Sus scrofa: one gene and its partner. The protein of the gene in region 2 purifies or fractionates together with the protein of the main gene of each other region. This does not show direct contact. Links are inferred from orthologs where the notes say so. Each region holds a gene or a part of one and is shown on either strand. Other genes may lie near its edges. The genes, in order: RMND5A and MAEA.

What was found.
Region 1: the proteins of MAEA (region 2) and RMND5A purify together in Homo sapiens (affinity purification with mass spectrometry; 5 studies listed by BioGRID and IntAct, counting the BioPlex papers as one, with this or other methods). This does not show direct contact. The link is inferred for Sus scrofa from reciprocal best matches to the Homo sapiens genes MAEA and RMND5A.

The regions. Positions count from the first base shown.
Region 1 is NC_010445.4:58,037,400-58,052,035, forward strand, and holds the end of RMND5A (protein RMD5 homolog A), read right to left. Parts: intron 12,590-14,636; coding exon 12,423-12,589; intron 11,410-12,422; coding exon 11,244-11,409; intron 8,905-11,243; coding exon 8,802-8,904; intron 7,056-8,801; coding exon 6,901-7,055; intron 5,366-6,900; coding exon 5,302-5,365; 3' UTR 625-5,301; downstream 1-624.
Region 2 is NC_010450.4:534,892-550,133, reverse strand, and holds the start of MAEA (macrophage erythroblast attacher), read right to left. Parts: upstream 6,854-15,242; 5' UTR 6,769-6,853; coding exon 6,700-6,768; intron 2,712-6,699; exon of another isoform or gene 2,291-2,711; intron 1-2,290.

The DNA of each region.
Region 1 (14,636 bases), on a different chromosome or scaffold from region 2:
ACGCTGTGATTCTGGAGAGAATCCCAGATGCTGCAAGGATAAGCAGTGATGCCAGGCCTCGTCTACACCCCCTGGACGAATGGCTCCAGATGTGGCTGGTGGGACCCACAGTGAGGACCCATGGGTAGGAAACATTCTAAAACCTCCGGTAAGAGTGAATCTCTCTGAAAATATACCAAAACAGCACAAACGGATCCTTGGTCTCTACCACCTTAGCTTGTGTGGAATAAGACAACCCATCCCCCGTTCCTCCTTGGCAGGGCTGAGTATACACACCCCACTGCACCAGCAGCCTGGGCAGAGCTGTCTCGGGGGCCCCCCCTCCCAGTCACACACTACTCACTTCGTCAGAGAGTCCCCGCCATCCTCAGGGTGAGCATAAGGGGCAGGAACCGGTAAACATTAACCCAACTCCCCCCCTTAGAATCTGGGGATGGTGCCCACCTACCTCTGCTTCTCATCCTACTGGTGACACAGAAACAGGATGAGATGGTGACAGATGTTTTCTTACCTTCTTTACATGCAGACCCTTGGCAAATGCAGACAGCCACGTTCTCTTACCTCCACATTCCCTCCCCTCATACCTCTGGCACCTGTCACATTTATACAGACGGGTTCACAAAACACTTTTCAAATGTGCATTTCTTTAATTTTTTAAAAATATACACAGGAGAAGCCATGTGTTTTACATAGGAATACACACATTAACAAAGCATTTCTTATAGTTTTCCAAAACTCTATTATATCAGTCTGAAATTTATAAATTAAATACATCAGAACCTTTTAAGTTAAAATGAAATCCCTGAAACTACTGGATATGCTAGATTTTTCTCAAGATCAAATGAACAGAGAATGTGAATATGGTTTGTGTTAAATAAGGTTTATTGTTAGCTTTATTGCCTATAGTCTATAAGATGCAACTTTTATTGTGCCTTTGCAAACAGGGTACATTTCTTAAAAAACTGATCAAAATTTTCCATACATATAGCTCTATATGATAGATTACAGTGCAACACTATTGTTACATAATTATAGAAATACTATAGAACCCAAGAGCACAGGGTAAGCAAAAGAAATACAATCCTGAGCCATCTGAACAAGATGATTTGATGAATTCTTTTAAGTTTAGAAAACATGGATGGGGAAAAAAAATACATGCACACTGCAGTCTTGAGCAAAATACATTAAAGACCTGTTCCTTGCTAGACACAGGTGGGGGTTAAAGGTGAATTTCAGACCCATGCACACTCACTCACGCTGCCATTATCTTCTCCTGCTTCCCTCCCATCCCCAGTACATTCACTCCCACCCCTTCCCCAAAGATCAGGCACTACGTCCTAGTGAACCCCCCATCTGCCTTGCTGGAGAATAGTAAGTGACTGTTAAAATAAGAATGTAGGTCATCAATCATAATATGAAACAAAGCATGTGCTCGAAGCCAATGCCAGCTGCTTCTGCCTCTTTGGAAGTCAATGAAGCAGATACTCACTACAGTTTAAAACTGCAGAGGAAAATGTTTTGAAAATGAACTTGTTTCTCTCCCTGTGTCATGACGTAAAATCAACAGTGGGAAAAACTCACCCTAAAACTAATCTGCCTCATCTGCTATTAAAATACATCTGTCATTCTATTTTTGGTATCTATTCAATTATAGTTTAATAAGAACAGTTCATGAAGCTTGTACTTTCCCAAGGTACACACCACCGTGCTAAACCAAACCTGCCACAGCTGGACAGGCTTATGAAGCACCATCCCTTCCGTGTATCACGCAAGTGTGCTCACATCCCCTCAAGACCACAGCCTTCTAGTGTTACCGAAGGTCATGTACGTAGAGTTAAGTAATGAAAGGTATTTGGTTTGTGTTTTCACCTTACACGTCCTGGCGATGAAATGAACCAAACATGCCTCCAGGCCTTCCCTGAAAAGAACCTGAGTCACTGACTAAGCAGACTGACCAGCCTGATGGTCAATCTACTTCATCAGAGGTTGAGCTGGAAAACCAGAGGGCTAACGTCTACCAGCAGCTTGTCTCGTGCAGATAAACCAAGAGTTCTTGGTTTCTGCAGTATTTACTGTCCCAGAGGCTAAAGCCTCCGAGGCGGAAATAACTCACGGCATAAGACACACTGAACTTAAACTGCACACCCCGCGGGACTACCTGGAGAGAAAAAAGGATCCTCGTTCCCCACATAAAGTGGTGTGAGTTTTAGTGTCTCTGTACACATCAGCTGCTTCAGAAAAAAAAAAAAAAATCAAAAGATTGACTTCATAACTTTCTTAGTTTCAATTAAATGCTCATACACTCACAAAATACACACCCTATGAAGATGAGGTGGCTCTTTTCTTCAAAATTTTAAAAATTAAGAGGCACCAATACCCGTTCATTTATGGATTAGAAATGTCAAATAATCACCACTAAAACAACAGAAATGGCATCATCTGTGACAATCACAGAAAGGAGAAGAAAGATTGAAAGACAACTTAGCCACCGTGCTTCAGACTGTACTGGGAAGCACAGATGCTCTAAAAGTCAGAATCTAAGGATCTGATACGGTTTCATGGGTTTAGCGCAGTCCCTTGGCCTTTGTCCACAGCTGGTAAGTGGACATGGTTTCCTAACTGGAAATTTAAGGAACCACTCTGAAATTCTGTTTTCAACATACAGTTACGACTGTATACATCTTTGCTCTCTCACAAGCTTTTGCAAGAGGGCAGAGCGTGGCACAACGCCTCCTTCCACACTGCAGACCTGCAGCCTCAGCACTGATGCGGTCCTACCAACACCGGCAAAGGTATTTCTAGGGTAGAAAGGACAGCATGCTGAATTTCAGCATCTTTGGTTAAGGTCTGGTCTCTTCAAAGCCACCTGTCTCCTTCACATTCACCATGCATTTAAAGAAGGTCGCAAGATAACATGTGCCTGTTTAACTGTCACATCAGTAGAGTTTCAAATTGGTGGCCCTACCCCTACCCTTGCCCAGTGAGACCACAGAGACCTGGCACAGGAAGCTGTAAAGTCAAATGCTTCAGGTAAAGTATGTTCTTTCTGAGGTTTCATGAACTGCACAGAAAACCGTCAACAGGATTCCCAACACCGGGAGAGGGACAGAGCAGAGCTCTCTCAGGCTTCTGTCCTTGAAGGTGGCCTGAGCCAGCTATGTGAAGTGTCTGGCCACCAAAAACATTTACCACCAGTCTAGAGCAATGTCTATACTGTTCGAACCTTACACAAAGCCTAAATGTTGTGTAGGTGTTTGAGGTGGAAAGGTAAGAACAAGCTGTGATTAAAACTAAATCTGGCCTAATGAAAAAAAAAAAGAAAAAAGGTGTGTGTGTGTGGGGGGGAGATCACACTCTGGGTTTTAATACAAAGGAAAAAATATATAATAAACCGGTCTTACATCCTCAACCAGAGCGCTGCCTGGAATTTTCTACCTTCTCCTTCTGGAGTCCAAGGAGCTTCTCTGCTTTTCTTCACTGAATTAGTGGGGAGAGGATTCCACCAGGAAAGGGGAATCACGGGGCAGAAGTCACTGGGCAGCCAAGCCAGAGATGGGGCAGAGCGAGCACTCTGAGCCGGGCCCATCACCCCCTAGCTAAGCCCCATGGCACACGGGAACCTCAGCAGAGGCCTGATCACACACTGCCACCAAACAGTCCCCCCTCCTTCACCAAAAGACGCCCGCTCTCCCAGGTCAATATCTCGGGCTACACCATCCAGGCCTGTCCATCAGAGCAGATGGTTTCCAAATGACTTAGCACCAAGTCTGTTATCTCCCTGCCCGGCAAACCAAGTCAGTCCGCAGTTTGAAATGCCAAGTGTCCCATTTCTCTTTGCTTCAGTGTACTCTTCTCTTTTCATTTTCTCATGGAAGGTTCCTGGATTTGATATTCAGTTCCATGTCAGATGAAATCGAGTAGTAAAGTATTTGGTGATTTCCATAAGACAGGCTTCTCAAACTGAAGTAACTTCATGGGTTTAAGTCAGAATTATGTCCACAGGAGTCTTTTTCCATGCAGTTCGTGATACAGAGAAAGACTCGTACACATGGCTGTTTTTGGACAGTGCATTACATGAAGGTACCTCACAAGAGAAAAGACCATTATCTGTATCCATTAGAGTAATATACAGATTCACAGTCAATGAGATGATACACTTTGCAGAAAAGAGGCATTGAACAGTATATTATTCAAATACAAAAAGGGCATAAACATATTCTGCACTACAGAAAATCCGCTAGCTTCTATCTTCAAGGACTGAAAGCGATGAGTCTGGAAACTGCGTCTTAGGACTGGAACATGCTTCTTCCCTTCCAGATACACAATGTTTGATGCTGGTGCACATATACACACGCGCACACACAACACTGTGTCTGTAGTGATATACAAATGCAGGAGACAGCCAAGTCCTGAAGGCAGATTTCAGAGAAGAGGGGTCACCAAGACCAAGAGAGCAAACAGCCACTGAAGAACATTCTAACTTCGGAATTTGTTTTATTGAACACACTTTTAAAACGAGCACCTCTTGGCAAGAAAAGCAAAGAAACAACGGTACTGCTTCCACTCTGTTCTAGTGGAAGCCTTCTCACGCCGACCTGCTAATAAATTTGTGATGGAATTTTTTAACGGGCAGCCCACTGGGGCTACAGGCAGAGCACAGATGCAGGTCTGCTGACTTCTCGGCGAGAGCTGGAGCAAAGGAAAACATCAGAAAGCAAATGTAGAATCTATCACAGCTTTCTTTCATAAGCCAAAAACAAACAAACAAACAAAAAAACAAACGCAAAAACAAAAAAAAAAAAAACCTGGCAAATTCGTTTCAGAACCACAATTCAGTTTTTCAAACTTTTTTTCTGAAGAATTTTCATTTAATTATGTATACGTAACAGGAAATAAAACCTTTCACAAACATCCTCAAGGCTTACAGTTACCAAGAAAATGACAAAAAGTAAAAGCAGGAGAAATATTAAACACATGGCGGGGAGGTCAATTTCTGTTTCTGCTCTTAAAAAGTAAAAAAATCACCATATAATTAAGTACAAAAACCTGCATTGAATGACAACTGCTGGTGTATTTACTTGATCAGAAATGAAGACCAAGAATATAATAAAGCCCTATGATAATATTTATCTGGAGCACACTCCCCTCCGTGTGTACACACTAAAATGTTGGCAAAGTTTCTGGAGCATTAGCTTATATAAACATGGGAGTCCTTGGTTAGCTGCATTAAATGGAACGTTCTCTTCTGAAATGCGCCCTCGATTCAGTTTCACTTACAAATTGCAAACTAGAGTTATTTCTTCAGAAAAATATCTGTTTGGCATCTCCTGGACTTTGTTCCATTGGGCAATATGGACATTTTAATCTAAAGACAAGAAAGAAAACATCGAATCAAGGAACAGGATCAGTACCGAGCATTCAATTTTCATCTAGGTATAGCAAACCTTTAACAATTACACACACACACACACACACACGTCTGTTTTTTCCTTCAAGCGTAAAAAGTGTGCTTTCCCTTAATGTAACAGCCAAGTTTGAATGGTCACAAATACACACTGTCCAAGCAAAACTCTAAACTGAAAGGCTCTTTTTCAGTGGATGAGTGAAAATTATTTTGTGAACAAAACAAAGACAACTGTTCTGAAAATTGCTTTGGGGGTTTCAAAACTCAATCCAATTTTTCTTGTCCAAGGCTTAGCTTGCACCTATCTCGAAAAGACTTTCAGATGCATCGGTGTCACAAGCCACACCCATGCAGTAAATGTGACACCAGCTGCTAAGCCGACAGGGCATGCAGCCTTTGTGCCCCATCGTGGCACACGATGCCCTGGAGTGGCGCACAGAACCAGCATGGTCTGAACCAAGATCAAGCCTGGAGCCTAGGCACCCCACCCCCTGCACCCCCTGGGTGCTTTAGTACATGCCAGTTCCTCCTCTCAAAATAAAGACTTCACCATAAGGGATGTGAAATGAACTCCAATGTAAAACTGTCTCGCTGTCTAAGGTAGAAATGGCGGGGGGAGTTAAAGCTCTTTTTTTAGAGCCACACCTACAGCATATGGAAGTTCCCCAGGCTAGGGGTCAAATTAGAGCTGCAGCTGCTGGCCTACACCACAGCCACGGCCACAGCAATGTGCAATCTGAGCCGCATCGTCGACCTACACCACAGCTCAGGGCAACGTCAGATCCTTAACCCACTGAGCGAGGCTAGGGATCGAACCCCCATTCTCTTGAATGCTAGTCAGGTCCGATACTGCAGAGCCGTGACAGAACTCCTACAAATAAGGTTTTAAAACTGTTTTGTAAAAGTTGGGTTCCTTACGTATAAAAATCATAAATGTATATACGCTATGAAGTAGTCATTCTAATTCTACAAATTTATAAATCACATATTGGTAAGGTAATTCACTTTACATTAACAAAAATTAAATGTTCATCATCAGGGAACTGGCTATGTAAATTGTATTTCATATGGCAGAATACTCTGCAGCTTTAAAAAAGAACAGGGGCTCTTTCTATATCACAAAGAGGACCTTCAAGATGTATCACAAAGTTACAAACAAAAACCAAAAAAAAAAAAAAGATATGTCACTAAGTGACAAATGCAAAGTTCAGAAGAGTATATATAGTACGTTACCATCTGTGTAAGTGGCAGGGGAGGGGCTGGGATGACAATATACCATTCACCCAAAAAGTTAAGAGTTAAAGACCATGCTTATAAATCTAATCAATAAATCCATGAACAAATTTAAGACTGACAAAAGATGTACCGCCCACTATGCTAAATGAATAGTTAAATATATTTTTGAATTCTAGCTGCATTTATTTATCCTTATTACTTATCTTCTAAGTTCCAAAGAGTATTCTTTTAAACTCATATTTAAAAAGTCAGACACTTACTTGCTACCATTAAACATTTTATTCAGGGCATCTCTTGATATAATATGACCACAGACCAATTTCATGGGTGGATTGTTATCTGTTGTTTGCTGACGAAGAATAGGACAGGCAAATATCGAGTGATACCAGCACTTTTTACCAAGGTCCACTTCAATCTGTTATTTTTTTCAAAAGAGTTAAAAAGCTCAAGTTATATTTCAGAAAACCATCTGCAGGTTAATAATGCATTCTGTAGCAAAGAACATTCATTAAGCCTACTTATCTGAAGGTAACTTTTAAACTCTTCTAAACTAGATGGATGGTCTCAGGGATTCAAAGTAGTAGCTCATAATTCTAAACTAACCCTCACAATTATCTGAAATAACACTCCATAACAACCAAATTCTGATGTCTTAGAGCAAGAGTCAAAAGCAAGGCAGTGCCCTAGAAATCACACACTAGAAAACTCAGGATGTGTGGGAGAGTAAATCCGCCAGATATCCCGACTGTTTTTAGGACACACTTAGCAAGGTGATGCAATTCAGTGTGATAATTCCTTTAAAGGCAGACAAAACATCGTTTACTGCTCTGTGGGCCTCAGATCTGGGTCTCCCATGTTTTCTGTGGAACTGTCCAGAGAAATCACCTGAAACAAGGGCTTTCAACTAAAGTTCAGCAGGACAAGTCACAATCCATCCATCTGAGCCCACCGCACTTTTATCACCTCTCTTTGCAGTGAACAAAACAAAAGCTGTGAAATCATCTTAGCAAAGAGGGTTAGCACGTTACAGAGGCTCCATGATGTCAGTTCATTATTTTTCCTTCTAAATCTAAGATGGCTATTAATATGAAAGACTGTCACCCAGACTCTTTTCTATGAGTGCTGTTCATCGCTTGCATGAGCAGCAGCCACGCAGGGCACTGCCTGTGTCCTGATCTCTCTCAGGACTGGGAACACACCTGCGCCTTTAATCATAACAGATCTCTGAGAAGCTGGGGCAACGCGACAGTTACCAGCTGGCAAGGTAACTACAGACAAAGCTGCGCACAGGGTGGTAGAAAAAAGCAAAAAGCCAAACGCGAATTAGCCCTTCAGGGTCGGAGACACAGTTGTAACAAGAACAGTAATTCCCATTAAACTGTCAGAGGCCCAGTGCAAACACACACATGATGACCTCTGACCTCTGTTATTCCATGTCATGACTACTACTTGATGACCTACTACACGGCCCATATTATTATTCTAAGCAAACCTCTATCATCTCTAGCATTTAACAGCCCCATAAACAGAAGGATGGTCCCCATTTTAGAGATGGACAAACTACTGCTTTGACAAGTTAGAGCTAGCAAGTGACTGGAGCAGATATTTAAAACCATGGCCCGTTCCTCTACAACAGTGGATGCGCAGCACTGGGGGTCACTGATGACCGCAGGTGTCACTGGGGTGATCTTTGACAGCTATATACTTATTTTAATTGGTATTAGAAACATAAAACTGGCACAAACCAATGAGCTCATAAATATCAATGTCTAAGACAAACTAAATCCAATCAAGTTGACTCATCACTTTTAGATTTTAAAAAATTAATGTTACAAGTGTGATTTACCAATTGTGCCGTGGAATATACCACGTGCTCCAGTATACACCACCCTCCTCTCTTCTAATACTCTCCTCTTCCGAGGTTTCCTTTCCTCTGATGCCTGCCACTCTAAGTCTGAAAGGTAAGAAAACTCCAGTACCTCCAGAATGTCCTAGCTGCCCACTTCCATGTTTAATCATGTCTACATGGACATAAAAGAATCCCTGCCGTATGGTTACAATAATGCTCCCTGAGGAAAAGGCAAGACAGACATTTTAAATCCTTAACATCTATTTTCTTCTAATGACAGGAGAGGTAATAACCAATAGAAATGGAACTCACGGGTAGTTCATCTTTCTGGTTCCAAACTCCAGTGCACTGCCTCTGTTCAATCACAGCTTTGATATTAATTAAAGCTGGCAGCGCCACACAACCTGCAGAGAAACTGGGAGGACAGGAGAGGAAATGTTAATGCCAGGCCAGGCGTCAGGAAGTTGGTCCCAGGACAAGACAATTCTTCCAGATTCCGTGCTGCGTGTAGAGGGCCCTGGTCGCTGGACTCAGAGCATCACAAAGCCCCCTGTTTTGCTAAACGAGAGCACATCCATGTGCACACATGCATGTTTACAAAACCACTAGACTGAATAAGCTCTGTTTACCAGTCATTAGTGGCCTTCCTGACATTCATGCTACTCTGACACATTTTCTTGCCCAGTTCTTTCCACACCCAGATCACCTCTGTCCAGAGCAGAAGCACACACTGCTCAGCTCTGCAAGTGCTGGCTGTCAACTCTCCCTGTAGGACTGTCCTCAGTTGAAGACAGAGACCTGACTGGGGTCACGTTCGATGAATGCTCCACACGAGGACACAACTCCAGAGGCCACCACAGCTGCAGAGCTCCCTGGGGTGGCCCAAGGCCTTCGATGACTCATCATAGTCCAACCTGTCCCTCTGCCTGACCTGCAATCCTGGCGCTCGTTAGAGTTAAGGGCACCTGTCTGTCTCCATGTGCAGATGGGCTGCACCTTATTCACCTCTCTGTCCTTCATAATGCCTAAGGTGCAGCAGAGATTCAAAACACTTGAGGAATTAAACGAACACTGGAAAAGTTACTTCTTAAAATGGGGTTTTTTTGTTTTGTTTTTTTGCTTGTAGGGCTGCACTGAAGCACATGGAAGTTCCTAGACTAGGAGTCTAATCACAATGACTACTGCTGGCCTATGCCAGAGCCACAGCAACGCCAGATCCGAGCTGTGTCTGCGACCTACACCACAGCTCATGGCAAGGCCGGATCCTTAACCCACTGAGTGTGGACGGGATGGAACCCACATCCTCATGGATCCCAGTCAGGTTCGTTAACCAATGAGCTACAACGGGAACTCCTTAAAATAGGTTCTTAAACTTTTTGATTTCAGGACCTCTTTAAAGGCTTAAATATAAGGATCTCAAAGAGCATCTGTTTTTGTGGGTTATATCTATCATTATTTATTGTACTAGAAATTAAAACAGAGAAATCCTTAAAATATTAATGCACTTAAAAATCATCAAATCATGTTATCATAAATAACATTCTCACAAAAAACAAGTCTCTTTTCCAAACCAAAATTAGACGAGTGGCAATGTTTTACATTTTCACAAATCTTTCTAATGTCTCCCTTAACAGAAGTCAGGTGGATTCTTACACCTTCCTCTGCATTCAACCCCCTGCAATGTCATCTTTTGGCTGACGTGTAAGTGACAAAAATCTAGCCTCACACACATATGCAGTGTTTTAATCGCCTTTCCAGATAACTGTGGATATTGTTCTTTAATGCCTCACCAAAACTCAACAAGAAGCAGTTTTTCAAAGGTTACGTGCAAAGTGGAATCTGAGTCTTGCCATTGGATTTTTGTACCCTGCTCCACTAAAACCCAACAGTCTTGTTCTCTGAATGAGCCTTTTACCCATGCGTGATCTTCTAAGATCACAATGATTTCCCAAGTGGTAGCACATTTCATTACATAATATAAAATCCAATTTCCTTATTACCACCATCAATCTCATCAGAAATGTTCTAAAGCACTGGGAAGCTGCCCAGCTCACAGAGGTAGGGGGCCCACATTTTCCCAAAGTCTATTTTAGCTTAAAATCTTGAATGTATTACTATGGCAAAAGATACCACCAGTTGCTTTCCCAACGTGACAGGCTTATTACTTTACTCATCTGACAAAAACCTGAATGTGAATAACTAGAGTCTGTCTTTTAGTGGTTTTTCAAGTGAAACCTATGTTCCAGGGAAAAAAGCAACTATTTTTTTAGCTCATAACTCAAACATCATACAGACGCTTTTCTTAAGACAGTGGCCATGCTGCCTCAGGAAATGGCGTGAAGCTTAAGGGCTTCATCTGAACTTCCAATTTGGGCAGAGTATTCAAAAGATGTGTATTCAAAGGCAGAGTAAAACTAAAACATCTGCAAGTGTGTGGGGGTGAGGAATACAGCAAGCTCCTGTGGGGGTTGGGACCACTGCCCCCATCTGCTGAGGCTGAAGCAGTTTAACCCACAGCGTGAGCACAGAGGAAAAGGCTCTCAGAGACCCTCGAAGGATCAGAGACCACACTGATAGCTGCTGCTCTAAAGCTCTGTAATACCAACTGTGACGATCTCTTGAAATACCAACTATACTCTTCCTCGGAAAGACAAATGTTCTACCAGCTTTAAACATCAAGAACTAGACAACAAATTAAGCAGAACTGACCAGTGCGGTGCATATTTCAACAACGGACAGGGCCAAGCTCCATACCTGACGCTGAGTGGGGACTCCACAGAGAGCCCCAGAAGGGCACAGGCATCCCGTGTGAAGATGTCACAGATGTCAGCCCACTGGTTTGCATCAAGCAGGTGAACATACGGTGAGTTCTCAATCCCTTGTCTCAGGTACACGAGGCTTCCCATCAAAACCTGAATGTCTAAACAAAAGCAGCAGCAATTTGGGGGTGTGAATGTTCACCTAAAATACAACCTTCGAGTAATACACTGAAAAAGGCAAGAATTCCCCCAGTTGACATGGCCTAAAATTACTTCTCAGTAACACCTTTGGAAATTCGGGGGGGGGGGCGGTTCTTGGAGTTCCTTCCGTGGTTAACGAATCCAACTAGGAACCATGAGGTTGCGGGTTCGACCCCTGGCCTCGCTCAGTGGGTTAAGGATCCAACGCTGCTGTGAGCTGTGGTATAGGTTGCAGATGCGGCTCAGATCCCGAGTTGCTCTGGCGTAGGCTGGCAGCTACAGCTCCAATTTGACCCCTAGCCTAGGAATCTCCATATGCCACGGGAGCGGCCCTAGAAATGGCAAAAAAAAAAAAAAAAAAAAAAAATTCTGGAGGGGTTCTTGCTGTGGCACAGTGGGTTAAGAATCTAACGGCAGTGGCTCAGGTCAGCGCAAAGGTGTGGGTTTGATCCCTGGCCCAGCGCAGTGGGTTAAAAGATCCTGCATAGCTGCAGCTCAGATTCAACCCCTGGCCCAGGAAATTTCCATATGCCATGGGTGCGGCCATAAAGAAAAAATTCTGGTCCTTGAGCTTGGTTTCTATTAAAGAAATAGCAGAGAGAAAAAGAAGAAGAAAAGGAAAGCACTAAATACTGAACCTGTAATTATTTTATTTTTATACACACAGCACAGTATAATTACCTTTATCTATAGGAGTAACAATTATGTCATAAACGGGGCCATCACATATCTTTGGCTGTTAAACCAGCCGGTGCTCCCACCCTGACACTTGGGGTTAAATTACTGTCACCCTGTTGCACTTTCAGACACTCTGTGGTGACAGTAACAGCAGCATGGGGGCAGGAGGACAAGCAGGGACTTCAATTGTTTGTTTATTAGCAAATATACAGTAGATCTAGTTAAGATAAACTTAAATTCCAGTGGCGGCTATAGGCCTGTTCCAAATATTAAAAACATCTGACTCCAAACTCACCTTTTTGATGATTTAGGGCAAATGGCTGAAAATTTTTAGCATATTGTAATGCCTCTCGCTGATTTGTAGTGCCTCCCATTAACAAGCTAATAAAGTACAGTCTGTGTAGCTTAAACTCCAAGGAGCTGTTCTGGGCTATGAGCATTTCTCGGTTTGATACTGCCCATCTATAAAAAAGCAAAAAAGATTTTAACAATAATTAAGAGCACAGACATGTGTGTTAAAATGGTTTGAAACCTCACACATACCAAAAAAAAAAAAAAAAAAAAAAAGGGCCTAGGCTGCCATCTTGTGGAAGTTGGTGGTATCATCAATTCCCAGGCCGAGACTTGTAAAGAAACAAACTACACTTAAAGACACTCTTTAGCCAGTGAAAAATTATTAAGTTAGATGATAATTATGTATTTAATAAGGCTTTACACCAAGACAAGACGGATTCTGACATATCTGGAACTGCACAAGGCTACACTCTGAAGCGAACATCAGCCATAAGACTAGTCTAGTCCTGTTAAACTGACATGTTTATAAGTGAGTCACAAGATTCTGAAGGGAAACCAGCTATCTTTAAACTTTCACTGGTGTGAGACTTGGTGCTACTTGCTTTGAGGTTACAAACAGTAAACTCAGGTATTTACCCTTAAGGTGCTTTCAGACTATCAGAAGGATAAAGCTATATAAACACCATTTAGCATATCATAAAAAGATTTGTACAAACAGTGCCAATGAGGGAAATACGCAGTTTTGAATGATCCAAAGCATAGTGACGCAGGCCTCAACAGCACAAATGATAGGAATAACCAATCCTGAGCTGGGACTACCAGTTAAAAAGGTGAGCACTAAAGCAGAAGTCTATCAGCCAGCTGTTAAAAGTCAGATTTGTAAGCAAGTGGTAAGAAGCACTGCTTGGAGTTCCTGTTGTGACTCAGCGGTAATAATCCCAACTAATATCCATGAGAACGTAAGTTCGATCCCTGGCCTCGCTCAGTGGGTTAAGGATCAGTGCTGCCATGAGCTGTGGTGTAGGTTGCAGATGTGGCCCAGATCTGGTGTTGCTATGGCTGTGGCATAGGCTGGCGGCTACAGCTCCAATTCCACCCCTAGCCTGGGAACCTCCATATGCCACAGGTGCAGCCCAAAAAGACGGAAAAAAAAAAAAAAAAAAAAAAAAAAAAAAAACTGCTTTATTTCTCTATACATATTAATGTGTAGAAGATGTTAGTATCACATTCTTCTTTAATCTGATCTTATAAATATTCCCCACTGAATTCAACTCACAAGACCCCTCCGAACCTGAACTACTGATTTCCTCCATGGACTCTTACAAGTAAAATGCTTCAGGTTACTCACAATGAACTGGCTGGCTGGTGGGATAAGACTTTACAGAGCTGCACTTTCACTGGATCCTACCCTTCCCCAAAGAGGCCTGCACACCCTTATGAGTATTCTAATCAACTTGTTGATGTATCCACATCTTGGAATCAAATCACGAAGCATCTCTGACCTCAAAATCAAAGTCATTTCTAAAAATACTAATCACTTGGACCTTAGACATTATTTACTGACATTTAAATAAGCCTTGGACCCACACCTAGCACTAATTTAATGATGTTGTTCAGCTGGTAAATCCTTCTGACACCAGCAAAGGGCCTCCAGGGGCTGTCTTGTATGCATGCCCAACAGAAGCCACCAGCACCAAAAGCACTGTGCTTGTGGCAGTCTCCGGTCTGCCAGGTACCTTCCTGACTTCCAGATCCAGAAGTGTCTTTAAATCAGGCCACTTACATATACACACACATATGTATCTATAAAATAGAGATGTAACAAGAACCTACACTGTACAGCACAGAGAAATCTACTCAATACTGTGTGACAACTATGTGGGAAAAGCATGTAAAAAGGATGGGATATATGTGTACCTATATGTAGAACTGAGTAACTCTGCTGTACACCTGAACTAACACAACTTTCTAAATCAACTATACTCCAATAAAATTTAATAAATAAATAAATCAGGTTACTCACCATTACCCCCTCTCACTCATAAAAGCATGAGTATGTTTTCCCACTAACAAGTAAGAAGAGGTGGTGAGCTTTTTCTTTTTTGTTTCTGACATGAGATATGTGTATATGTGTGTATCAGTTTTCAAGAGTCAAAGAAGGGAATTAACAGAGAGTAGCTATAAATTTTAGTAAAGGGCAAAGTCCATAAGTGGG
Region 2 (15,242 bases):
GGGTGAACCGGACCGCAGAGGACGAGGTGGGAAACGTCTCTTCCTCCCCCATGTGCGGGTCGTTCACGAAGGGCCAGTGCCACCTCCTCTTTCAACATTTCATAGACTTCACCGGGGAAGCCATCCCTACGTGGGATGGGCTATTCAGCCATCGTTTAACAAATGAGCGATTTTACGCCTCACCTCAACGCTCTTCCTTTCATATATTCTGTCTGTAGTCCTTTGCCCCACACTCAACCCAAAACGTCCTGGCGCTTTCACATCAGTTTGAACTAGCTCTGTATGGTCCCTATTTGATAATTTTTTTTTGGCCATGCCCACAACATGCCAGGGCCAGGGACTGAACCCAAGCCACAGCAGTGACAGTGCCAGATCCTTAGCCTGCTATGCCACCAGGGAACTCCTTGGTAGATGTTTTCTTAAGACTTGTTACTTGCGGAGTTCCCGTCGTGGCGCAGTGGTTAACGAATCCGACTAGGAACCATGAGGTTGCGGGTTCGGTCCCTGCCCTTGCTCAGTGGGTTAACGATCCGGCATTGCCCTGAGCTGTGGTGTAGGTTGCAGACGCGGCTCGGATCCCGCGTTGCTGTGGCTCTGGCGTAGGCTGGTGGCTACAGCTCCGATTCGACCCCTAGCCTGGGAACCTCCATATGCCGCGGGAGCGGCCCAAAGAAACAGCAAAAAAAAAAAAAAAAGACTTGTTACTTGCTTCTAAAATCTAGTTTTATTTTATCTGGTTACACCAAAGATTTCTATTTGTATTAATCAAAATCTACTCAGTTTTTCCCTACTAATTTGTGGCACTACAGCTTTTAAGATCGGAGGATTTCTCCACTTAATTGGCTGATACTAATTATATTTCCTCCAGTACCTCTTTCCCTTTAGTGACTCAGGAAAGCAACCCTTCCAGTTTTCACAGCAGAAAGAGAAGACGGCAGACACGCCTTGCTGAGACCTGTCTTGACACCTGCGCTCTCCTCCCCCACTGTGTCACCTGCCTTAGGCTGTGTCCCCCCAACCCCTCCAATGTCTGCTGTGGACTTTCCCAGTGTCTGCTGGCAAAGCAGGCAATCTCATTTGTCACCGTCATGTTCTCAGCCGTTTTGACCAGCACGGGAAGGAAGGATTTCCCCAAAGGCACAAGGCCTTTCATCTTTCACAATTAAGAAAGCGCGAAGGAGGTTTCTGAGTGTTTACCGCGAAGCTAACAGCACCTCCTCAAGGGTCGGGCCGAGCCCTGAGCGGCAGCAGACATCCGACCCCATCTGGGGAGCTGCCTCGTGTTTCGAAGCACGCGTGGTCGGGTCTCGGCGGCCCCACGCTACCCCGGGTGAACGCCAGGCACAGTCTGCACCTGCGGTTGGGGCACCAAGGACAGGAGTGCTTCGAATCCCCTCTTTTAAACAGGCTTTTTTTTTTTTTTTGTCTTTTTGCTATTTCTTTGGGCCGCTCCCGCGGCATATGGAGGTTCCCAGGCTAGGGGTTGAATGGGAGCTGTAGCCACCGGCCTCCGCCAGAGCCACAGCCACGTGGGATCCGAGCCGCGTCTGCAACCTACACCACAGCTCAGGGCAACGCCAGATCGTTAACCCACTGGGCAAGGGCAGGGACCGAACCCGCAACCTCATGGTTCCTAGTCGGATTCGTTAACCACTGCGCCACGACGGGAACTCCTAAACAGGCTTCGTAAACAACGACCAGGCCGGGTCCGCCTCCGGGGGACTGAGGAGCTGGACCCTTCCCTCCACCCAGCGCGGACAAAGCTGGAGGCGTCCTCTGGGGGACGGGGGCCTCTCATCTACAGCCGTCGCAGGAATCTTTCCGGCCACAGGTCCTCTTGAGAAAGGGCAGTGCGGGCAGATGCCTCAGCCACTGCCGCCAGCCTGACGGGAGCCGGGACCGCGTCCTCCCGCCCCGGGACGGCTGGCGAGCACAGGCGGGCACCGGTGCCCAGCGTATAGTTACACGGGGGTGATGGACTCTCTGGCCTCTTAGACACGATACACGCCAGAGGCGGCAGCGCCCACCGGACTCAGCGGCGGGCCGGCCGTCAGCCTCCTGGTCCTGCCCTCCCGGGAGCCCCGCCAGGCCTGACGGGGCGCAGGGAGGCCCGAGGGTGTCTCTCCAGCTGTCACTGGCACGGCAGACGCGCGCCACACCTCCAGCCGCACTCAGCTGCCAGCCCCACGGCGCGACCAGGGCACAGGCGCACCTCCGCCCGCGCCGGTCCCGGGAGGCGCGCTGCCCGCTGCCGCCGGGATGCCGAAACCGGGGATGCGCCCGTGCTGACCTCGGCCACTGCGTCCTCCTGCAGTCAGGTCGTGTTTCCGGGACATGAACATTTGTCGCCGTCATTCTCAGCGTCACATTTCCTGCTGCTTCAATTCTTACTTCTCTGGACAGAATTGCCAACATAACAGGGCAAGGTTCGTTCGTTCGTTGAAGAGTCATTTCTCCTCTTCCCTCCACACAGCGTGTAATCCCAGTGGTGAGAAACAAAGCGGCAAAGGGAGCAGGTGAGACGGCACAGCGGCCAAGGAGAAAGACCGCAGGAGGGGACAGGGTGCCCGGGGCCCCAGGTGAACAAAGGCCACCCCACCAAGCAGGTGACACCTGAGCAGAGGTGGGGCGGGGGGCTAAGCCCGACAGACATGTGGGCGAAGCATGCTGAACAAAGACACCAGAGCAAAGATCCTGGGTCCGGTGCCGGCACCTCCCGCAGCAGCAGGAAGGCCACTGTGGTGAAGTGCCTGGGGGCGGGGGGGGGGACGTGCCAAGTGCCGATGGGCCTGAGAGGCCACTCTAACAACCCTGGGCTTCCCCCCAGGTAGGGACGAGGCTGCTAGGACAGAGGATGGCACTGCCTGGCGACCGGTGGCTGTCCTGGACGTGGGCAGGGCAGGGACCAGTGGCAGGCAGCCTCAGGCCACGGCGGGGCGGGAGGCACAGGGAGACAGTAGGGCTCTGAACACGTTCTGGAGGCAGATGGGCAAGCAGAGGGCCCAAGGCTGGCTGCGAGGTTCCAGCCTGAGCCCCTGGGATGGAAGAGCGGTCCCCCACTGAGGCCAGGAAGGCAGAGAGCGGGTTTGTGGAGGCGACCGGCAAGACGACAAGTCCAGCTTCCATGTGCTGGAGGCCGCCACGCCCAGGATGCAACTGGAGGCAGAAGTGCGACGCCAATGCTTCAGGAGCTTCCCACCAGACAGAAGAGAGGCCTGCTCTGCCCATGGGCGCCCTCTGGGCCCCGGGAGGGAGGCAACCCCAAGGCAGGCCTGGCCGAGGAACGAGCATTCCAAGGGGCATCCAACAGAAGCAGCGTCAGACTGTGACCAAGGCCGGAAAGAAAACACCAAGGGACCACTCAGCCTGATGCTGCTCAGGGCCCTCGCGGCAAGGGGCCCTCACCAGGCTGTCTCTTTACGGTCCCCTGGCAGCCAGCACAGCCACCCCTGGCTCGGGCCTCGGAGCTGAAGCACAAAAGCCAGCCCGCCCTTCCGGGAGGCCCTGCAAAGGGAGCTGGCCCCCAACCCTCCCCGCTCCCACCGCTGGCGGATGGGGGGACGGGCGGGAGGACCGGAGCCCCCGCAGGCCGCATGGACGAAGAAGAGATGGCAGGACGATCGTGGGCAGACATGAGGCAAGACACGGAACAGGTGGCCGAGGGGGCTGTCACCTGAGGGCTGGCTGGTCGCAGGAGCCGGCGGCTGACCGGGCAGAGAGCGGGGCCGGGGCTGGGGCCCGTGTCTGCAGAGCAGAGAGGACCGCGGCCGACGGAGGGAAAGCCAGAAACCGAAGGAAACGCTCAGACCCAGCACACCCTGATCCTCGCCTCCAAAGCCCGGCGGCTTCGTGCTTCCTGGCGTTCTCGAAGCCGCCAACACGCGATCCCGAGCCCAGCCAAAACCGAGTTTGGAAACTACGCGGAAGGGGGCGTGTCACCGGCACCCAAAGCTTCTAGGAGGACAGAGCCGGGATTTGAATCATTTGAATCGGCCGAGCGGGATGTGGGCAACAAGATGCCACCACATAAAAGCAGAAGATGTCAACATTCCTCTAGAGAACTCCAGGCACCAGGAGACCCCACCTCCTGACCCAGACAGGGCAGCCGCACACTCCCCCGCCCGCCCCAGGAGCGGGGGCACGGGTGTGGGGGACCCCCGGCTGGGGTGCCGAGATGAGGCTCCAGGTGTCCAGAGCAGGTCCCAGGGAGCAATGCTGGGCCCTGCTTCCCCGCCGAGCAGACGGCTCCCCGCTTAGGTGCTGATAAAAAGGGGCTCTAAAATATTATTTTCCTGCTGCTACCTGAAGGAAAAGACAGAAGTAAAAACTCCAAGATACTAATGGGAAGATCAGCAAAATAATTTGGAGATAAACACAACTGCTTCTACAACGAGAAAAACTTTAAAAAATGCAATTAAAACAGGGCCTCCAGGAGTTCCTGTCGTGGCTCAGTGGTTAACGAATCCGACTAGGAACCATGAGTTTGCGGGTTTGATCCCTGGCCTCGCTCAGTGGGTTAAGGATCCGGCGTTGCCGTGAGCTGTGGTCGCAGATGTGGCTTGGATCCCGTGTTGCTGTGGCTCTGGTGTAGGCCGGGGGCTACAGCTCCGATTAGACCCCTAGCCTGGGAACTTCCATATGCCACAGAAGCAGCCCTAGAAATGGCAAAAAAGTCAAAAAAAAAAAAAAAAAAAACAGGGCCTCCAGTTCACAATGGTGGGTTAGGCACCCAACTTTCCCCTTCCCCTCCCACGAGGCCTACAACCCGAACCAGACAGCACTCCAGGGCAGACCCGCAGCCAGGCCAGAGCACCAGGCGCACTGCAGAAAAAACAAGCCCCCTATGGCAGGGTCCTGACCAGAGGTTCTGCGGGGCCACCCCCTCCGCCGGCTCCCCCTCCACCAGGGCAGCTGGCTGTGCAGGAGCATCCTGGCGGCCTGCCCAGCACCCTGAGGGCGGGGCGAGGCCAGGGGTGCTGCCGAACATCCCGCTGTTGCCTCAAGTCCGCAGGAGGAGAGGCCTGAGCCAGTCCGGCCACCACAGGGGCGGGTGCTCGGCGGGGAGAGGGTCAGCGTGCTCCGCTTTCGCCCTTCCCCAGGAGACAAGGGGGAAGTGCTCGTGCAGGCTGTGGGGAGCCAGCCTGAGCCTCCCAGCCTTCTGAGGAGCGCTCGCTCGCCAGGAACTCAGTTCACGCTCCTTCCCAGCCACGTGGGAGAGCGGCCTGTGCCCCAGAGAAGCACGACCCACACCTTCCAGAACCTGGCCCTCGGCCCCTTCTCCTCCGGCCTCTGCCCGGCACGCCCCTCCTACCACGCCTGCCTCTGGACCCGGCTCAAGGCTGTGACCAGCGCAGCTCCGCAGCCGACAGCTCTTCTGTGCTTAATTAATTCCGCTTTAACAAATGCTTCTAAATCAAGGCTCCCTGGTTCCCTAGTGAAACTTCCTCACGATCCACTGAGAATTGCTCCTGAAAAAAATGTTAACTCAGCAGTGACAGTGACATGCATGTCGAGAGAACAGAGAAGTTATCACACAGGCTCTAATCATTTGTGAGGGAAAATGAAGCTATCTTGCAAAAAATCCTGCTTTAAAAATCATTCTCAAAAAGAAGTAGAACTCTAACCCGACAGGCTCGCCTGCAATGACACTGTAATATTTCTTTATCTCTGAGTCTACATGGCGACTTTAATCGAAGACTACTGAGGAACTCTGGAACTCAAGTGACACTCAAGGACGTCTAGTTGGGCGCCTGAGGCAGCAGAGAATCCTGGTCTGGGCGACAGGGTCTTGCGGAGCTGAGTATGAAACCACCACCCACCCACCTGCTACCACTGAGGTGGACGGGCATGCCGAGGTCCCAGGGGAGGAGAGAAGCTACCTGCCACCCCCTCCCCGGAAAGGAACTGAGTCACCCTGCTCAGCCACAGGTCCCCTGAGAACGCTACAACCTCGATCTTGTCTGGAATCATTCCCAGGTGCTTCTTGGGATTCAATGACCATGAATTCCTCTGCTAACCAGGGAAGGAGCCAGTACTGGCCTCCGCCCTCGAACACCAATTTCATCCCAGTGTCAGGGACTCGCCTAAGTGACCATCCAAGGTCACGTATATGGCAACCGAGTGGCAAGGGCTGTATTTCAGGTTTGGTGACGCCCCGTATACGGGCTCCCATTGGGTCGTGAAGTCTCTCCTTACAGGTCCCCTAATTCGTGTCTGGAAGCTATACATCAACACCTTCTGACATAAGCTTCCGGGAGGACGGCTGGACACCAACGGCCAGTCGCGTTGGGCACCCTGGATGGGCGCCTGCGACCCCACGCCCCTGAGACCCCAGCCTCCAAAGTCACCAGGCAGCCTAAGGCCAGAATTGTCACCGATGTGTTCGCCGTCGTGATGGGGAGAAGGGGCCACAGTCGCATTCTGGAAGGCGAAGCGGGGCGCCAGGCAGACGCGCCCCCCGCACTGTCACAAAGCCCCTGCGGGCAGACAGGGGCACGGACGGCCACACGCCACACCCGCCGGCCGCAGGCTCCCGGGCCCCGGACCCAAGGAGCCCGGCCCCTCAGACCACGGCCCCCGCCCGGCGCCCCAGGCCGCGCCCTGTCCCCTTCTCCCCTCGAGCTCACCGCCCCCCGCCCCCCCACACACACGGCCCGCGGCCCCCGCCAGGTGCGGGCGCCCCTCGGCCGCAAACCCCACCTTGAGGGTCGGGTACTCCTGCACCTTCAGGGTCATAGAGAGCTGAGCCGCGGACTCCTGCACCGCCATCTTGAATCGGCCAAAACATTAGCGGGCGGAGGGGAAGCCAAGCGCGCGGCACGCCGGGTAGCGACGTCGCGGGGCGGGGTGGGGCGGGCCGACGCGTCTGCACCAATCGCGTCCGCCCCCTGTCGAGTGGCAGAGGGAGAAGGCGGGGCCGCGGCGTGCAAGCCGAGAGGCGTCCTCCCCACCCAATCACCGCCGGCCTTTCTCTCGTTCAGCCAATCGGCGGGAAGCCCGGCGGGGCGGGTTCCCTTCTTGAACTCCAGGCGGGGCGGGAAGGTCTCGGCCGGATGGCTCTCCCCCGGCCCTTTGACTCGGCGTCCCAGCGCCGTCTACGCACCGAGCACCCTCAGAAGTGGGGGTCCGGGGTCCGGCGAGGAGCGCGGCTGTGGAGGTGTCTGGGCTCGCGTGGGGCGGCCCCCCCGGAGGCGGTGAGCCCTCCTAGCCATGACCTCTCAAGGCTGTGACCGTGCATGGGAGTCGTGCCAGAAGGTCTGCAAGGCGAGGGTGCCTGTCAGCACTGCTCCATTGGCCGCCTTGCGCAGAGGTCCGGCTGGAGCCTGGCGCGGAGCCGCAGGTCCCGTTGGAGGGGAGAGGTGGAGCGCTTAATCGGATTAGGAAAGCGTCTCCCTAGTGGAACAAGGGCCTGTGCTCTCCCCGCACCTGGCCCGCGGCCCTGGTATCCACGGCGATTCTAGTTTTCAACCACTTCGCATTGTTTTGTTTTGTTTTTTAACATCTTCAGTCAAATTTTATTTTATTTTTCTATTTTAGAGCCGCACTCGCGGCATATGGAGGTTCCCAGGCTAGGGGTCGAATCGGAGCTACAGCTCCCGGCCTACACCCCAGCCACAGCAACGCTGGATCCTTAACCCACTGAGCAAGGCGGGGTGGAACCTGCATCTTCATGGATCCTAGTCAGGTTCGTTAACCGCTGAGCCACGAAGGGAACTCCTCGAATTTTATTTTTTTAAAAAAGCAGCAGATCAGCACTACAAGAACCTAATCTAAATATGCATTTGGGAATGAAGCACGTCTGAGTAGGGAGTGAAACGTTTTTGGAAAAAGCTTTTGCAGAAAACCATCTACTGCATCATCTCTAAACACCCCAGTAATAAATCATTCTGTAGGCTTTTTGCTGCCACTTGACATTCTTATTCCCTTTTATTCCTCTTTAAAATAGAAAGGAAATTAGGTTTCACTAGTTAGGAGAAGATTTTTTTCTTTCTGTCTTTTTGCCTTTTCTAGGACCGCTCCCACGGCAAATGGAGATTCCCAGACTAGGGGGTCTAATTGGAGCTATAGCCGCCAGCCTACGCCAGAGCCACAGCAACGCAGGATCCGAGCTGCGTCTGCAACCTACACCACAGCTCAGGGCAACGCCAGGTCTTTAACCCACGAGCGAGGCCAGGGATCAAACCCGCAACCTCTTGGTTCCTAGTCGGATTCTCTAACCACTGCTCCACAACGGGAACTCCAAGATTTTCAAATTATGCCACACTTCACACTCATTTCTGAAATGGTATTTTTTTAAATGATTAAGTTTAGCATTAAAAAACAGCAACAACCCTAAGGCTACACAGGAAAGCCACTGTCGCAGTGGGAACCCTAGGACCCCCACCTCCACCAGCCCTTGCCCCCATGCCCTGCAGCGTTCTAGCAAAATCCTAGTGCTAACAATCACGCAAGGATGAGAAGCTTCCCGTGCTAAACAAAACAAGTTCCTCCTAGAGATCATATCCACACGAGTGAAAGCTGAGTGCGTCAAGGCAATCAGCACGTTCAGCTTCATGCTAACCCAATTTTGGCCAATTGTGATACGGTAACAGCCAGTTGCGCCACCACCAAAAGCGAATTCATCTGAAAGAAGGGGAGCTGTGACTTGGAACACACCAACAACAGCAGACCACAAGCAAATCCAGAGAACGAGGCGTGGGAACTTGCTGTTACAGGGAAAGTGGGTCTTTGAGCGGGGCCGGGATAACCGACGGGGTCTGTTGGAGGAGCTGGTGGGGGTTGGGGGGACGAGCAAAGACCGGAAGCTGCCGATTGGTTGGGCTGCTGCAGCCTCTGATTGGCCGAGTTTCCGGATGGGGGGAAGGGAAGTTTTCTCCTTCCTCTTGGACGGTAGGTAGAGGTGTCCTCCTGTGAAAGACGTGGCAGAGGCCCCTTCCTGTTTGGGGTGACTGACATGTGCGTTGGGTGTCAGCGCGCCCCCTACAGACTTGTCCTGACTGCAGCCCTAACTGACAGTTCCTTAATTCATTCCACATTTTCCGCTTTTGATCAGGATCTTTCCTTGAAGGTATCACCGATCAAGAGTCAGGATCTCCTCTAGTGGTTTGCTCCAGTTAACTTAGAAACATTAGGGGTTAGCATTTGGATCTTCAGAGGATGCTACTCTAAAGAGTAGGTTTGGAGTTCCTGGGATGGCCCAATGTGTTAACAATGTGACTGCAGCAGCTCAGGTTGCTGCAGAGGTTCAATCCCTGGCAGAGCACAGTGGGTTAAAGGATCTGGCAACGACACAGCTGCGGTGTGGTTGCAGCTGCAGCTCAGATTCAGTTCCCAGCGGGGATTTGAAGATGTGGCCATTTAAAAAAAAAAAAAAAAGGAAAGAAATGAAATGAAAACAAATATAACAATGACAGATGTGAGTCCCACCCTAACAGTAATTACATGTAAATGGATTAAATTTCCTAATCAAAACAAAAAGACTGGCAGAATGGATAAAAACACATGATCCAACCATACTGCAAGAGCTGACTTTATCTTGTGTCTTTTTAGGGCCGCACCCGAGGCATATGAAGGTTCCTAGGCTAGGGGTCGAGTCAGAGCTGCAGGCACTGGCCTACGCCACAGTCACAGCCACCCGGGATCCAAGCCAGGTCCACAGCTCATGGCAATGCTGGATCCTTAACCCACTGAGCAAGGTCAGGGACCAAACCCGAGTTCTCATGGACACTGGTCGGGTTCGTTAACCACTGAGCCATGACGGGAACTCCAAGACCCACTTTTAATCCAAAACTCAAATACATTGAAACCGAAGGGATGGAAAAATATATTCCATGCAAATAATGGTCAAATGAGAGAAGAGGTGGCTATATGAACATTGGAAGAAAATGGGTTTTAAACCAAAAAAGAACATTACGTATTAATAAAAGTTTCCATACAGCAAGAACTAGTGACAAATACAAACTTTTTTTTTTTTGTCTTTTGTCTTTTTGTTGTTGTTGTTGTTGTTGCTATTTCTTGGGCCGCTCCCGCGGCATATGGAGGTTCCCAGGCTAGGGGTTGAATCGGAGCTGTAGCCACCAGCCTACGCCAGAGCCACAGCAACGCAGGATCCGAGCTGTGTCTGCAACCTACACCACAGCTCAGGCAATGCCGGATCGTTAACCCACTGAGCAAGGGCAGGGACCGAACCCGCAACCTCATGGTTCCTAGTCGGATTCGTTAACCACTGCGCCACGACGGGAACTCCGACAATACAAACTTTTACACACCTAACACGGAACATCAAAATATATGAGGCAAAAACTGATAGAATTAAAGGAAGAAACGGGCAGTTCTTTAACAATGGCTGGAACTTCAATACCCCACTCGCAACAATAGCTAGAACTGCCAGACAGGAGGTTAGTAAGGAAACAGAGTAACTCAGTTCGGTCTAACAGACACGCACAGAACACGCCACCACCAACAGCACGCACGTTCTTCCCAAGTGCACTTACGACATTTCCCAGGATCGACCATACGCGACGCCACAAAGTAAGTCTCAATGGATGTAAAAAGCTAGACACCATGAAAAAGAAATCCCTCCAACCGCAGCAGGATGATGTTAGAAATCGAAACACAAGGAACATTGGAACATTCATGAGTTTGTGGACATTCAAGAACCAATGGACCACAGAAGAAAGCAAAAGGGAAATTAGACAACAATTAGAAAGGAAGAAAAAAGAGAACGCAACTTACCAGAACCAGTGACTCACTGAAAGAGATATTCAGGGGAAATGTATAGCCATCAACACTTACATTAAAAAATAAGAAAGATCTCAAGTACACAACCTAACTTTACAACTTAAGGAAGTAGAGAAAGAAGAACAAGATAGACCAAAGCTAGCAGAGGGGAGGAAAAAAAAAGATTAGAGCAGAAATAAATGAAACAGGGAATAGGAAAACAATAGAGAAAATAGGTAAAACCAAAATTTGGTTATTTGGTTTAGGCAGGCTTGTTTTATTTGATCGAAGGCAGGTGGACAAAGAAAAAAAGAGACAAATCAAATTACTAACATCAGAAACAAAAGTGGAAATATTAAAACTAATTCTACAGTAATGAAAAGGATTATAAGAGAGGGCTGTGAACAACTAACTGTACACTAACTAATTAGATAATTTAGATGAAATGGACAAATTCCTGGAAATACAAAACCTACCAGGACTAGATCGTGAGGAAATAGAAAATCTGAATAGGACCAACCAGTAAGGAGAACGAGTCAGTAATAATAATAAATATCTCTCGACAAAGACATTGGACCTGACGGCGTCACCGATGAATTCTACCAAACACTTAAAGAGAACGAATAGCTTTCCTTCTCAAACGTTTCCAAAAAATTGAGGATAGGGGAACACTTCCTAACACATTCTTTGAGGCCAGCATTGCCCTGAACCAAAGCCAAACAAAGACACTACAGGAAAACGACGGACCAATATCCTTTGTGATCCCTGATGCAAAAACTCTCCAGAAAACACTAGCAGGCGGAATTCAGCAGCATATTCACAGGCTTATTACACAGTATGACCAAGTGGGATTTATTCCTACAATGCAAGGATGGTTCAACACGTGAAAAAACAATCACTGTCATATACCACATAACAGCGTGAGGGGAAAAAAGCACGGGATCATCTCAATTAATACAGAAAAAAAATTAAACATTATTTTATGATTTAAAAAGTAAAAAAAAAAAGTAGGGGAAAAAAAAATCTACATCAGCATAATAAAAGCCATGTGTGAGCCACTCCCAGTGCATAGGCTACTCAACGGCGAGAAAATGAAAGCTTTTCCTCTAAGACCAGGAACAAGGTAAGGGGCCCTGCATCCACTCTTGCTGGAGTTCTGGCCAGAACGATTAGGCAAGAAGAAATAAAAGGCATCCACACTGTGAAGGAAGAAGTAAAACTGTCTCTGTTTGCAGATGACATGATCTTATATTAGAAAACCCTAAAGGTCACTCACACACTCACACACACACATACTCTCACACTCACACTCACACACGCACACACACACACACGGCAAAACAAAACACCTGTTAGAACTAATATAGGATTCCAGCCAAGGAGCAGATACAAAGCCAACACACAAAAGTTATCGGCATGTCTATATACGAACAACGTATGATATGGAAAGAAAATGGCAAAACTGATTATATTTGCAATAGCATTGAAAAGAATAAAATACTTTGGAAGTAACCAAGGAGCTGAAAGACTGACTTGTACAAAGAAAACTACAAAATATTACTGAAAAATTACAGACATAAATAAATGAAAACACACTCCAAGTTCATGGACTGAAAGACAATAGTTTTGAAAATTTTATTGGAGCATAGTTGACTTACAGTGTCGTATTAGTTTCAGGTGTAGCGCAAAGTGAATCAATTATAAATATACGTTGGAAGACAATATTTTGAAAATGTCCATAGTCCCCACAAGGAAGTACAGATGCTACTCAATCCCTATAAAATCCCAATGACATTTTTTGTGGAAATAGAAAAACCCATCCTAAAATTCGTATGGAATCTCAAGGGATCCCAAATCATCAAAACAGTCTTGAAAAAGAAGAACGAAACTAGAGGACTCAGCTTTCCTGATCTCAAAGCTCATTACAAATCCACAGTGATCAAAACGGTGTGGTGGTGGCATAGGAACAGACATACAGGCCGATGGAATAGAGTAGAGAGCCCAGAAACAAACCCTCGCAGAGATGATGAGATGATTTTTGACAAGCATGCCAAGACCATTCAATGGGGAAAAATGTCTTTTCAAAAAGTGGTGCTGGGATGGAGTTCCCGTCGTGGCTCAGTGGTTAGCGAGTCTGACTAGGAACCATGAGGTTGCGGGTTCAATCCCTGGCCTCGCTCAGTGGGTTAAGGATCTGGCGTTGCTGTGAGCTGTGGTGTAGTTGCAGACGTGGCTCGGATCCTGCGTTGCTGTGGCTCTGGCGTAGGCCAGTGGCTACAGCTCCGATTCGACCCCTAGCCTGGGAACCTCCACATGCTGTGGGAGCGGCCCAAGAAATGGCAAAAAAAAAAAAAAAAAAAAAAAAAAAAAAAAGAAAAGTGGTGCTGGGAAAACTGGATTTCCACATGCAAAAGGATGAAGTTGGGAGTTCCTATCGTGGCTCAGTGGTTAACGAATCCGACTAGGAACCAGGAGGTGGCGGGTTTGTTCGCTGGCCTCGATCCCAGTGGGTTAAGGATCTGGAGTTGCTGTGAGCTGTGGTGTAAGTTGCAAACAAGGCTCGGATCCCACGTTGCTGGGGCTCTGGCATAGGCTGGCAGCTACAGCTCTAATTAGACCCCTAGCCTGAGAACCTCCATATGGCACAGGTGCAGCCCTAAAAAAAATTAAAAAAATAAATAAATAAAAAGAATGAAGTTGGGTGCTTATTACACGCCATATACAAAAGTTAGTTTGAGAATGGATCAAAGACTTGAATACAAGACCTAAAACTATAAAACTCTTAGAAGAAACACAGGGTAAAAAATTTATAACTTTGGATTTGGCAGTAAATTTTGGGGTATGACACCAAAGGCACAGGAAACAAAAAAGGAAATAGAAAATTTTGACTTCATTAAAAATTTTTTTAAAATTGTACATCAAAAGACACTACCAACCAAGAAAAAGGCAACCCACAGAATGGGAGAAAATATTTGCAGATCGCTCATCTGATAAGGGATTCATACGTAGAATATACGCGAACCCCTAAAGCTCAAGAATAAAAAAATGAACAGCCTAACTCAAAAATGGACAAAGGACTTGAATAGATATTTTTTTCAAAGATATACGAATGACCAATAGGCCATGAAAAGGTGCTCAACATCAGTAACCCAAAAAAATAGCATAATGCAAATCAAAGCCCCAGTGAGATGCCACCCCGCACCTGTCAGGGCTGCCACGGTTAAAAAAACCAAAGCAAGCAGTGCTGGTGAGGACGTGGAGAAACTGGAACCTCCGTGCACCGTGGGTGGGAAAATAAATAAAAGGCATCCACATTGTGAAGGGAGAAGTAAAACTGGTGCAGCCTCTGCGAAAACAGTATGGAAATGACTCAGGGTTAAAAATAGAATTACCATACGATCCAGCAATTCCACTTCTGGGCGTACACCCAAAATATTGAAAGTAGGGTCTCAAAGAGATATTTTTACACGCGTGGTCATAGGAGCTTTGTTCCCTGTAACTAGAGCGTGGAAGCAGCCCAAGTGTCCACCAACGCGTCAGTGGAGAAGCAGCACGTGCCGTGAATCTCCAGGGCGCGGCGCCGAGTGAAATAAGCAGCCCGAAAGGGACAAATGCGGTGTGAGGAGGTCCCGAGAGCAGGGCGATTCATGGACAAAAATTAGACGGAGGCGCCAGGGCTCGGGGAGGAGAAGCGCGGCCGCGGAACCGGGAGAGGGTTTCCCTTTGGCAGGACGGAGCGTTCCGCGGTCACGCGGGTGGGCTGCATACCGCTGAGCTGTGCCCTAGAAGATGCCGAAGAGGCTAAGTCTCAAGGGTCCTTTATCACGATGAAAAGGCACAGTTTTAAAAGAACTGAGGTGAATAAAGGCAGCACTGAAATCTGTCCCCCGAATCTCAAACAACAGAACCCAAGGCAACACGTGGCCGCGGCGGGAGGTGCACCCTGGAGGTGCAGGAAGCAGCCGCGTGAGGACTGGGGTGCACGGTTGCGGCCCCGCTCAGACAAGGTGCTGTCTCATCAAGGAGTGGGGCTGCGGAGGGCAGCGTCCCTCAAGTTCACGGCGGCAGCTCAGACCCCACTGCCTGGGGTCCTTCCAGATGTTGTTCGGTTCATCTCACAGCAAGTGCGCGAGTCTGAGCTGGATGCTCACCTGTGTGCATCAACTCACGCGCCCACCTCTCCAGGCAGATCGGGGACACCGCCTGCAGCCTGGAAGGCTCCTTGCTGGTCTGTACCCCCAAGGCCGCCCTCTTCCTGACCTCTCACCCATAAATCAGCCTCCTTAAGCCTCATGGGTGTGAAACCGGCAGCCTGCGCTTGTGTTCCATGTGGTGCTGTGCAGGCCCTTGCAGGCCCTTGCACCTGAGCTCGCTCCATCCTCTTCCTCTCTCTCTCTCTCTCTTTAAAGGGCTGCATCCACTGCAAAAGGACGTTCCCACGCCGGGGATGGACTCTGACTGGCGCGGGATACTTTAGCTGATGCCTCCGCAGAAAGAGCCGCTGTGCGTGGACTCTTTTTCGT